Xenopus tropicalis: one gene and its partner. The protein of the gene in region 2 purifies or fractionates together with the protein of the main gene of each other region. This does not show direct contact. Links are inferred from orthologs where the notes say so. Each region holds a gene or a part of one and is shown on either strand. Other genes may lie near its edges.

What was found.
Region 1: the proteins of serine/threonine-protein kinase 35 (region 2) and c1orf174 purify together in Homo sapiens (affinity purification with mass spectrometry; 3 studies listed by BioGRID and IntAct, counting the BioPlex papers as one, with this or other methods). This does not show direct contact. The link is inferred for Xenopus tropicalis from reciprocal best matches to the Homo sapiens genes STK35 and C1orf174.

Annotation. Positions count from the first base shown.
Region 1 is NC_030683.2:96,894,978-96,899,238, forward strand, and holds the start of c1orf174 (UPF0688 protein C1orf174 homolog), read right to left. Parts: upstream 2,901-4,261; 5' UTR 2,860-2,900; coding exon 2,845-2,859; intron 1-2,844.
Region 2 is NC_030686.2:888,432-892,983, reverse strand, and holds the start of serine/threonine-protein kinase 35, read right to left. Parts: upstream 2,844-4,552; 5' UTR 2,309-2,843; coding exon 1,975-2,308; intron 1-1,974.

The DNA of each region.
Region 1 (4,261 bases), on a different chromosome or scaffold from region 2:
TGATACCACCCCCCTCCCAGCAGCTTCCAGAAGATATCAGAATAGCGCTCAATAGTAAGAAATCCAAGTCTGCCTTGGGACTACTCCAGTTACATAGGAGTAGGAGAAACAATAGGTTATCTGAAAGAAGTTCTTATGTGTAGTGCTGGCTCTTTATGAAGGCATGCATGAACTGCAAACCATTCTTAAATCAAGGGGAAAATCCAGTCCATCTTATGCCTTATAAAACACATATCTCTGATTTTGGACTTAAGTGAATGTGCCATAAAGATATGGAAACAAAAAATGCATACATTCGCATTTTCATGCCGGCATGCGCTCCGTGTAGCTCCACACAGGCTGACACCGGTCCTGTCAATGGAGCTACAAGGGTATGTGCATAAGAGCGGATTCATTTTTCTCCATGTCTATAAAAACTGCCTACAGAGAAAAGAGGTGGTTATAACACATCACTTCTAAATTAACAAAACACAAAAGGAAGTGGGCGATGGAAAGTATATTTTTAATACCTCATGTAGGTGTTGGGATATTGCTATAGGAGGCATACAAAAAGAGTGAATGTATGAACATTCTTTTGATCTTAAAAGGAAACAAGATATGTTACATAATATTGTTTCCAGTTGTGTTTAATATACATTATTGGATGGATCTTTACTATTATGCGACATCATCTTGGAGCTTTGTCGGACATGGGGGGAAAGTTATTTTAGTGGGAGGTTAACAATCATTTTATCCTTGAAATGGTTCTAATACCTGTACAACTGTATGCTTTTATTGCCTATCACAGTGCAATGGATGCACAGAGTCACTTACATGCATACCTGTATGTATGTATATCTTTATTTATAAAGCGCTACTTATGTACGCAGCACTGTACAGTAGAATACATTAATACAAACAGGGGGTTTTAAGATAATAATAGATAAATACAAAGTATAACAATAAATACAAGATACAGTTACAATAAGTTAAGAGTCAAAGACACAAGAGGATGGAGGTCCCTGCCCCGTAGAGCTTACAATCTATACCTAAACACAAACAAAAATCAGAACCCATTAAATGACAATTACTTTAAATTTCTATTAGGCTTTAAAAGCCAGTGCCAGACAGTGAAAAAATCTTAATAACAAATGTATGCATCTAGTGCCACTGAACTACTACACAAATAAATGTATCTAGACAAAACAGAAATAATTCCTTGGGCAATGTTCAAAAAAACCTCACAGTTCTTGTAGCTGTTCCCATCTATAACTGCCAAACAGACTCATGTACAATGAAGTTGCGGCTACATTGTACATTTCTAACTTTTCATGTAAATCTGTGCCAAATCTAAAAAAGTGGAAAATTATTCCAGAGAGTCTGATTTTCCTTTTTTTTTTTTGCCTGTTGTGATTCTACTAAAAGCCAACACTACTTGGATACAGGGGATTTGCTAGCCATGCAATCTGTGCTCAATGTGACACTGGCATAGGATCTGAAAGGGCTATGACAGAAGGGGAGATTAGTCACCGCGCAACAAATCTCCCTTGTCGTGGGCGACTAACCTCCCCGAAATGCCATCCCACCGCAGAGAATGTAAATCGCTGGTTGGATGGCATATGTGGCAATTTTCCGAAGTTACAGAAGTTTCTTCTCAAGGCAACTTATTCTTATTGGAGACTATTGGGGTTTATTTAAATGATTAAAATGATTTCTTAGCAGACTTAAGGTATGAATAAGGAGGGAGATCCAAATTACAGGAAGACCCCGTAGCTGGAAAACCCCAGGTCACGAGCATTCTGGATAACAGGCACATGTATTTGTTGCAGATGCTATTACTGAGGAAATACAAAGTACTTGCCCCCATGACTGCAAGGTCCTTAGCTTAAGTCAGTGGTTCTCAACCTTTCTAATGCCGCGACCCTTTAATACAGTTCCTCATGTTGTGGTGACCCCCAACCATAAAATTATTCCTAAGACCATCAGAAATGTGTTCTTCAATGGTTCTTTGATGGTCTTAGGCGACCCCTGTGAAAGGGTTGTTCGACGCCCAAAGGGGTCCCGACCCACGGGTTGAGAACCACTTTAAGTGACCATCACTTTAAATCACCAAGTACATAGTAGTGCCTGACAATAATAACATATTCTTTATTAAGTCTTTAACAAGTGGCCACAGAAACAAGCAGGGGGAGTTGAGGCCCCTACATACAACTGAACCACCATTTGTCATAAGGATCTTGCTGCAGAAAGCAACTACAACTCACAAATTCTATATCAGCCCTCAGCTCAGCCACTAGCCAGCATCTTGAGAAGCAGAGTCAGAAAGTCCCAAAGTAAAGCCCAAGTGACATTTACACAAAACACACATACAGTTACCCTTAGTAACCCAGCAGCTCTGAGGGAAAAGTGCAGCCCCACAGCAATTTTACACTACAAGTCCCAGCATCCCCTGATAGGCTGCAGGCTGGAGAGCCCCTGTAACTGTGACACTAACAACAAAAGCTAAATGTCTCAGACTGCTAAGCTTCTGCTAGTAAAGAAGCCTAAGGGAAGCCACAAAGATGTAATTATTATAGTATAACAATGGTTGTCTGTCATGGTTGCCGCTAAGCCCGGATAAACTACAACGTCCATGATCCCCGGTCAGCAGTACGGTTTCTGAAAATCAGGACGGAACCTGTACCGGAATTGCCATTTGACGTGCCTTATTTAATTGCCTTTGTGCAAACAGCAGGGCTATCCCGCGTCTCCACCCTGATCCCCCTCCTCTCCAAGCCTAGTAAATACGACACTGGAGCGGCCGATCGCGTAATGCAGATAGATGGGACAGTAAGCAACATTTCCACAAAGCGACACCCTTCTTACCTTTCTCTTTCTCATGTGGAACGGCCTCTTACCCGGTACCTGTCTAAACTAAAAAACTTTCTCCGCTCCCCAGAAGCAGCCGCCCAAAACTTTATCAAACAGCGTCACGAATTTGGCTGTGCCGGCCTGCGTATGACGTCACAGGCTTAGAACTAGTGCAAGGGACGCCCTCCGCGGCCATATTGGGTATGGGCAAACCCTGCTGCTGACTGAGGTCCAAACTGATTGAGCAAGTTACTTGCCTCCCCACCCAACGGGGCAGATTAATATGTCAATATGTGCACTTTCATTTTAATCTGTATTTATTGTTTGTAAAAACACATTGCAATTTTGCTTTATATTAATATAAAAGTATATATATTTATGGCTAAAATAAACTAGTATCGTTTAACAGACGAAGTTTACGAACATATTATACTTGGCTGTCTGTTGAATTGATGTTTTATTGCAATACAGAAAGACTTTGACCATTGAGGAGACTGCCAGAAGTATATTCCTGGCTGGATGTGAAGTTATATTTAATGATAAATGACAGAAGCTCATTGGCTTTTAAATGAGCTACAGAGGTTTAAAGAGAAAGTTTGGCAGTAAAAGGATATGGAGAAACTAAAGTCACAGTCCTATTGGCTTTTGCCAAAAAGTTTCAAGTCATTGGACTACAGTATATGTGTTTAAAAGCCCGTACAACTGCACCTCTCATTGAGAGAAACCTGTAAGAGGCTATGTACACTCTAGAGGTGAGTGCATGGCTGTGACCTGAAGATTCTAGATCAGGGGTAGGGAACCTATGGCTCGGGAGCCAGATGTGGCTCTTTTGATGGCTGAATCTGGCTCGCTGCCAAATCTTTAAAAAAAACAAAAAACATGGGGCGTGGCCCGCACTTGGCGGATAGAAGACGTGTTCTAAGCCTTAGAACATATCTTCTATCCGCCAAGCGGAGGCCACGCTCTCCTCCGCATCGCATCCACATCCGGCATCCTTACCGGGTTGCACTTGAACCAGGGCCCAGGGAACTGAGAGGAACATTCGAGTAGAAACCCGTGTCAGTTCACGCTTAAATTGAAAATACAATGTGGCCAATATGTGTTGGAGCTACAAAGAGAAGCCAACTGTGCTAGGTAGCCCTCTAGTTATACCACTAACAAGCCATATTGAACAGCTAAAGATGACACCCACCCTACCTTGCCCCTCAGCATCCGCGGCCGAAAGGGGATTGAAACCGCATTGTCCTCCACAGGCAGCCACAAATCGAGGCCCTGGCTTCGGCCTAGCTCCCGTCGGCCATTGTATGGCTCTCCCGGAATTACATTTTAAAATATGTGGTGTTTATGGCTCTCTCAGCCAAAAAGGTTCCCGACCCCTGTTCTAGATGGAACACAAGGAATGTTAAACAAAAGACATGAGTAGAGAATTTGC
Region 2 (4,552 bases):
CTGACCGAGAGGCCGGGGGGGGGGGCTAGGGGCACCTGACCGAGAGGCCGGGGGGGGCTAGGGGCACCTGACCGAGAGGCCGGGGGGGGGCTAGGGGCACCTGACCGAGAGGCCGGGGGGGGGCTAGGGGCACCTGACCGAGAGGCCGGGGGGGGGCTAGGGGCACCTGACCGAGAGGCCGGGGGGGGCTAGGGGCACCTGACCGAGAGGCCGGGGGGGGGCTAGGGGCACCTGACCGAGAGGCCGGGGGGGGGCTAGGGGCACCTGACCGAGAGGCCGGGGGTGGGCTAGGGGACACCTGACCGAGAGGCCGGGGGTGGGCTAGGGGACACCTGACCGAGAGGCCGGGGGTGGGCTAGGGGCACCTGACCGAGAGGCCGGGGGTGGGCTAGGGGCACCTGACCGAGAGGCCGGGGGTGGGCTAGGGGCACCTGACCGAGAGGCCGGGGGTGGGCTAGGGGCACCTGACCGAGAGGCCGGGGGTGGGCTAGGGGCACCTGACCGAGAGGCCGGGGGTGGGCTAGGGGCACCTGACCGAGAGGCCGGGGGTGGGCTAGGGGCACCTGACCGAGAGGCCGGGGGTGGGCTAGGGGCACCTGACCGAGAGGCCGGGGGTGGGCTAGGGGCACCTGACCGAGAGGCCGGGGGTGGGCTAGGGGCACCTGACCGAGAGGCCGGGGGTGGGCTAGGGGCACCTGACCGAGAGGCCGGGGGTGGGCTAGGGGCACCTGACCGAGAGGCCGGGGGTGGGCTAGGGGCACCTGACCGAGAGGCCGGGGGGGCACCGACGGTCTGAACCCCCCGTTCCCACTGCCCAGGATATTTAGCTTTATAGGGAGTCCCCCCACAAGCTCCTTGTTACCCAATACCCTAGAGATCTCTGGGTGCCCCCTGGGCCCCCCACTAGTACCAGAGAAAGACATAACCCCCCGACTGTATTTGTGCCCCAGGGTATTTCAGTAGTTTGCTAGTTACCCCACAGGCTACTTTTCTTACTTAGGAACAATTGGGGTTCAGTTAACCCAGGTACCCCCAGTTAGTTGCCCCAGTGGCTGGGGTAGTTATTTACCTGCCAGTGTTGCTAGTTACCCCTTAGGCAAACCACTGGGGCACTAACTGAGTGGGTGGGTGCCAGTCCCCCCGAGCCTTTCAGTGCCCACCTGGGTGCAGGTACAACTATTACCCCAGTACTTGCCCTTCAATTACTTCCTGTCACCCACAATGGGGCAGTCACCTTACACTCCGACCCAGGCTCAGACGTGATCCCTTGTTGTTACCCCCATGGGGCCACATTTGAGACTCCCTCCCTTTTTAGTAAATCCCTATGGGGTAAAAGAGCCCCCCCAGGTGTAAATACAGTTACCCCTCCACTTACATACCCCCAGGGTGCAGATACTGTACCCTTCCCCATACAGTACCTCCCGGGGCAGTTACCCGGGGGCCACACTCACCCCTGGAGGGGCCCCACACTCACCCTCGCCCCACACTCACCCCTGGGGGGGCCCCACACTCACCCTCACCCCTGGGGGGGCCCCACCCTCACCCCTGGGGGGGCCCCACCCTCACCCCTGGGGGGGCCCCACACTCACCCCACCCTCACCCCTGGGGGGGCCCCACACTCACCCCTGGGGGGGCCCCACACTCACCCTCGCCCCACACTCACCCCTGGGGGGGCCCCACACTCACCCTCACCCCTGGGGGGGCCCCACCCTCACCCCTGGGGGGGCCCCACACTCACCCTCACCCCTGGGGGGGCCCCACCCTCACCCCTGGGGGGGCCCCACACTCACCCCACCCTCACCCCTGGGGGGGCCCCACACTCACCCCACCCTCACCCCTGGGGGGGCCCCACACTCACCCCTGGGGGGGCCCCACACTCACCCCTGGGGGGGCCCCACACTCACCCCACCCTCACCCCTGGGGGGGGGCCCCACACTCACCCCACACTCACCCCTGGGGGGGCCCCACACTCACCCTTGAGAGAAGTCTCTACAAGTCGCAGGTAGAGGCGCGACTGTTTGTTTCCGTGCGACATTCTCTGGGCCAGGCCGTTCCGCTGCAGGACGCACTCCTCGAAGCGCACGATGTTGGGGTGGCGGCGGCGGAGGCTGGTGAGGGCCCAGAACTCGGACAGGGCGAGCTCCACATTCTCGGGGGCGTCACAGCGAATGCGTTTCACCGCCACCCGCGCCCCGCTCCTCAGGGCCAGGGCCTCGTACACCACCCCGTAAGTGCCGCGCCCGATCTCGGCCAACAGACTGTACCGGGGCCCAGGGCATCGCCGCTTCCTGTCAGGGCTGCGCTCCATGGCGGCTCCCTCATCCCAACGCTCCGAGCCGCGCTCCCCGCCGGCTCCTCACAGACTGGGGATTGGGGCCTGGGGGCGGGAAGGGAAAGGGCTGGGAGATACCACTGGCGGGGGGGGAGGGACAGAACCGGAATACGGAATCGGGCCGGATCGGTTACAAAGCCTAAAGGGAGGCGGGGCCTGAATTATCTCATTTACGGAAGAGCATCACGGGAGTGTGCGTAACAAGCACATGCGGAAATCGCCAGACTTATGGGACGTTTAGATGAGTCTCCCCTCCCCACTTGGTACGTTCCAGTGTTCCCAGACTGTAAACACCAAACGCTGGTCGAGACCAAATGCCCTTCCGGGGGGAGGTAGCAATCACATGTGGGGCTAACACAGCAGCCTGGAGGCCCAAGTATCTGCCGCTGTATCATTAAGGGCGGTGTAAATTCAGCAACTCGGAAATAAATTCGTTTTGCGTCTCCGGTTTCTCTAATTAACTTGAACCCTCCCTCTTTGGTGCAATCCAACTACTGTACTGTGCGGGTCCTACGGAAAGCGGCGTGTCCCAGAGGGGGTGTGTCCCAGAGGGGGTGTGTCCCAGGGGGTGTGTCAGGCTCTCATTTCCTTGGTCCACATGGGCCCTGCTAGTACGGGGGCAGTTCTCTCAATGTGTCTGTAGGCAGGGAGCTCTGTCAGTGTGAGTGTGAGTGTGAGTGTCAGTGTGAGTGAGCGACTAAGCTGATAAAGGGAATGGGCTCAGTTATGGGGAAAGGCTGGCCCAGTTGGGATTGGTTACACTGGGGAAGGGCGGGGCCTAATTACAATCAGGCACCTTTATCCCAGGTAAATGCGCCGCCCCTAACCTACTCTGGTTAACTCTTACTATGATGTAGAGAGTGATATTGTGAGACAATTTGCAATTGGTCTTTATTTTTTATTATTTGTAATTAGTTTTTGAATTATTGTTCAGCAGCTCTGCAGTTTGGAGTTATAACAGCTATATGGTTGCTAAGGTCCAAATTACCTTAGCAACCAGGGAGCGGTTTGAATGAGAGACTGGTATATGAATAGGGGAGGGGCTGGATAGAAAGATAAGGAATAAAAAGTAACAATAACAATAAAACTGGAGCCTCACAGAGCAATAGGGTTTGGCTGCCGGGGTCAGTGACCCCCATTTGAAAGCTGCAAAGAGGCAGAAGAGGAAGGCAAATAATTCAAAAACCGTAAGAAATAAATAAAGAAGACCAATTGCAAAGTTGCTCAGCATTGCTCATTCTATAACATACTAACGGTTAAATTAGAGCTGAACCCCCCCCCCCCCCTGTAAAGGAGAAGGAAAGCTACAATCACACTCACTGTATTCACTGCCCCTCGGTTGATGCTGAGTGACCTGTAACTGCAGTGGGAGAGGCGACTTCTCTGCCAAATCTGAAGGTAGTCCAAACAGTGCACCGCTCCCCAGCCCAGTCCGGCTGTCATATTGGGGTGTGTTGGGGCAACAATTCTGCCTGTTATACCATAGGCTGTAACTGTCTCACACAGCCTTCTAACCCCACTCCCAGCTGTCTCATCCTGTCCCTTCCCTCTCTGTCAGCAGCAGCGATGTCACTAAAGCCCTGTGGGGCCACTGGTGCCCCCCGGCTCCCTTTCTGTGTAACTGCAGTGCCACTGGTGCCCCCCGGCTCCCTTTCTGTGTAACTGCAGTGCCACTGGTGCCCCCCGGCTCCCTTTCTGTGTAACTGCAGTGCCACTGGTGCCCCCCGGCTCCCTTTCTGTGTAACTGCAGTGCCACTGGTGCCCCCCGGCTCCCTTTCTGTGTAACTGCAGTGCCACTGGTGCCCCCCGGCTCCCTTTCTGTGTAACTGCAGTGCCACTGGTGCCCCCCGGCTCCCTTTCTGTGTAACTGCAGTGCCACTGGTGCCCCCCGGCTCCCTTTCTGTGTAACTGCAGTGCCACTGGTGCCCCCCGGCTCCCTTTCTGTGTAACTGCAGTGCCACTGGTGCCCCCTGTCTCCCTTTCTGTGTAACTGCAGTGCCACTGGGGCCCCCGGCTCCCTTTCTGTGTAACTGCAGTGCCACTGGTGCCCCCCGGCTCCCTTTCTGTGTAACTGCAGTGCCACTGGTGCCCCCCGGCTCCCTTTCTGTGTAACTGCAGTGCCACTGGGGCCCCCGGCTCCCTTTCTGTGTAACTGCAGTGCCACTGGTGCCCCCCGGCTCCCTTTCTGTGTAACTGCAGTGCCACTGGTGCCCCCGGCTC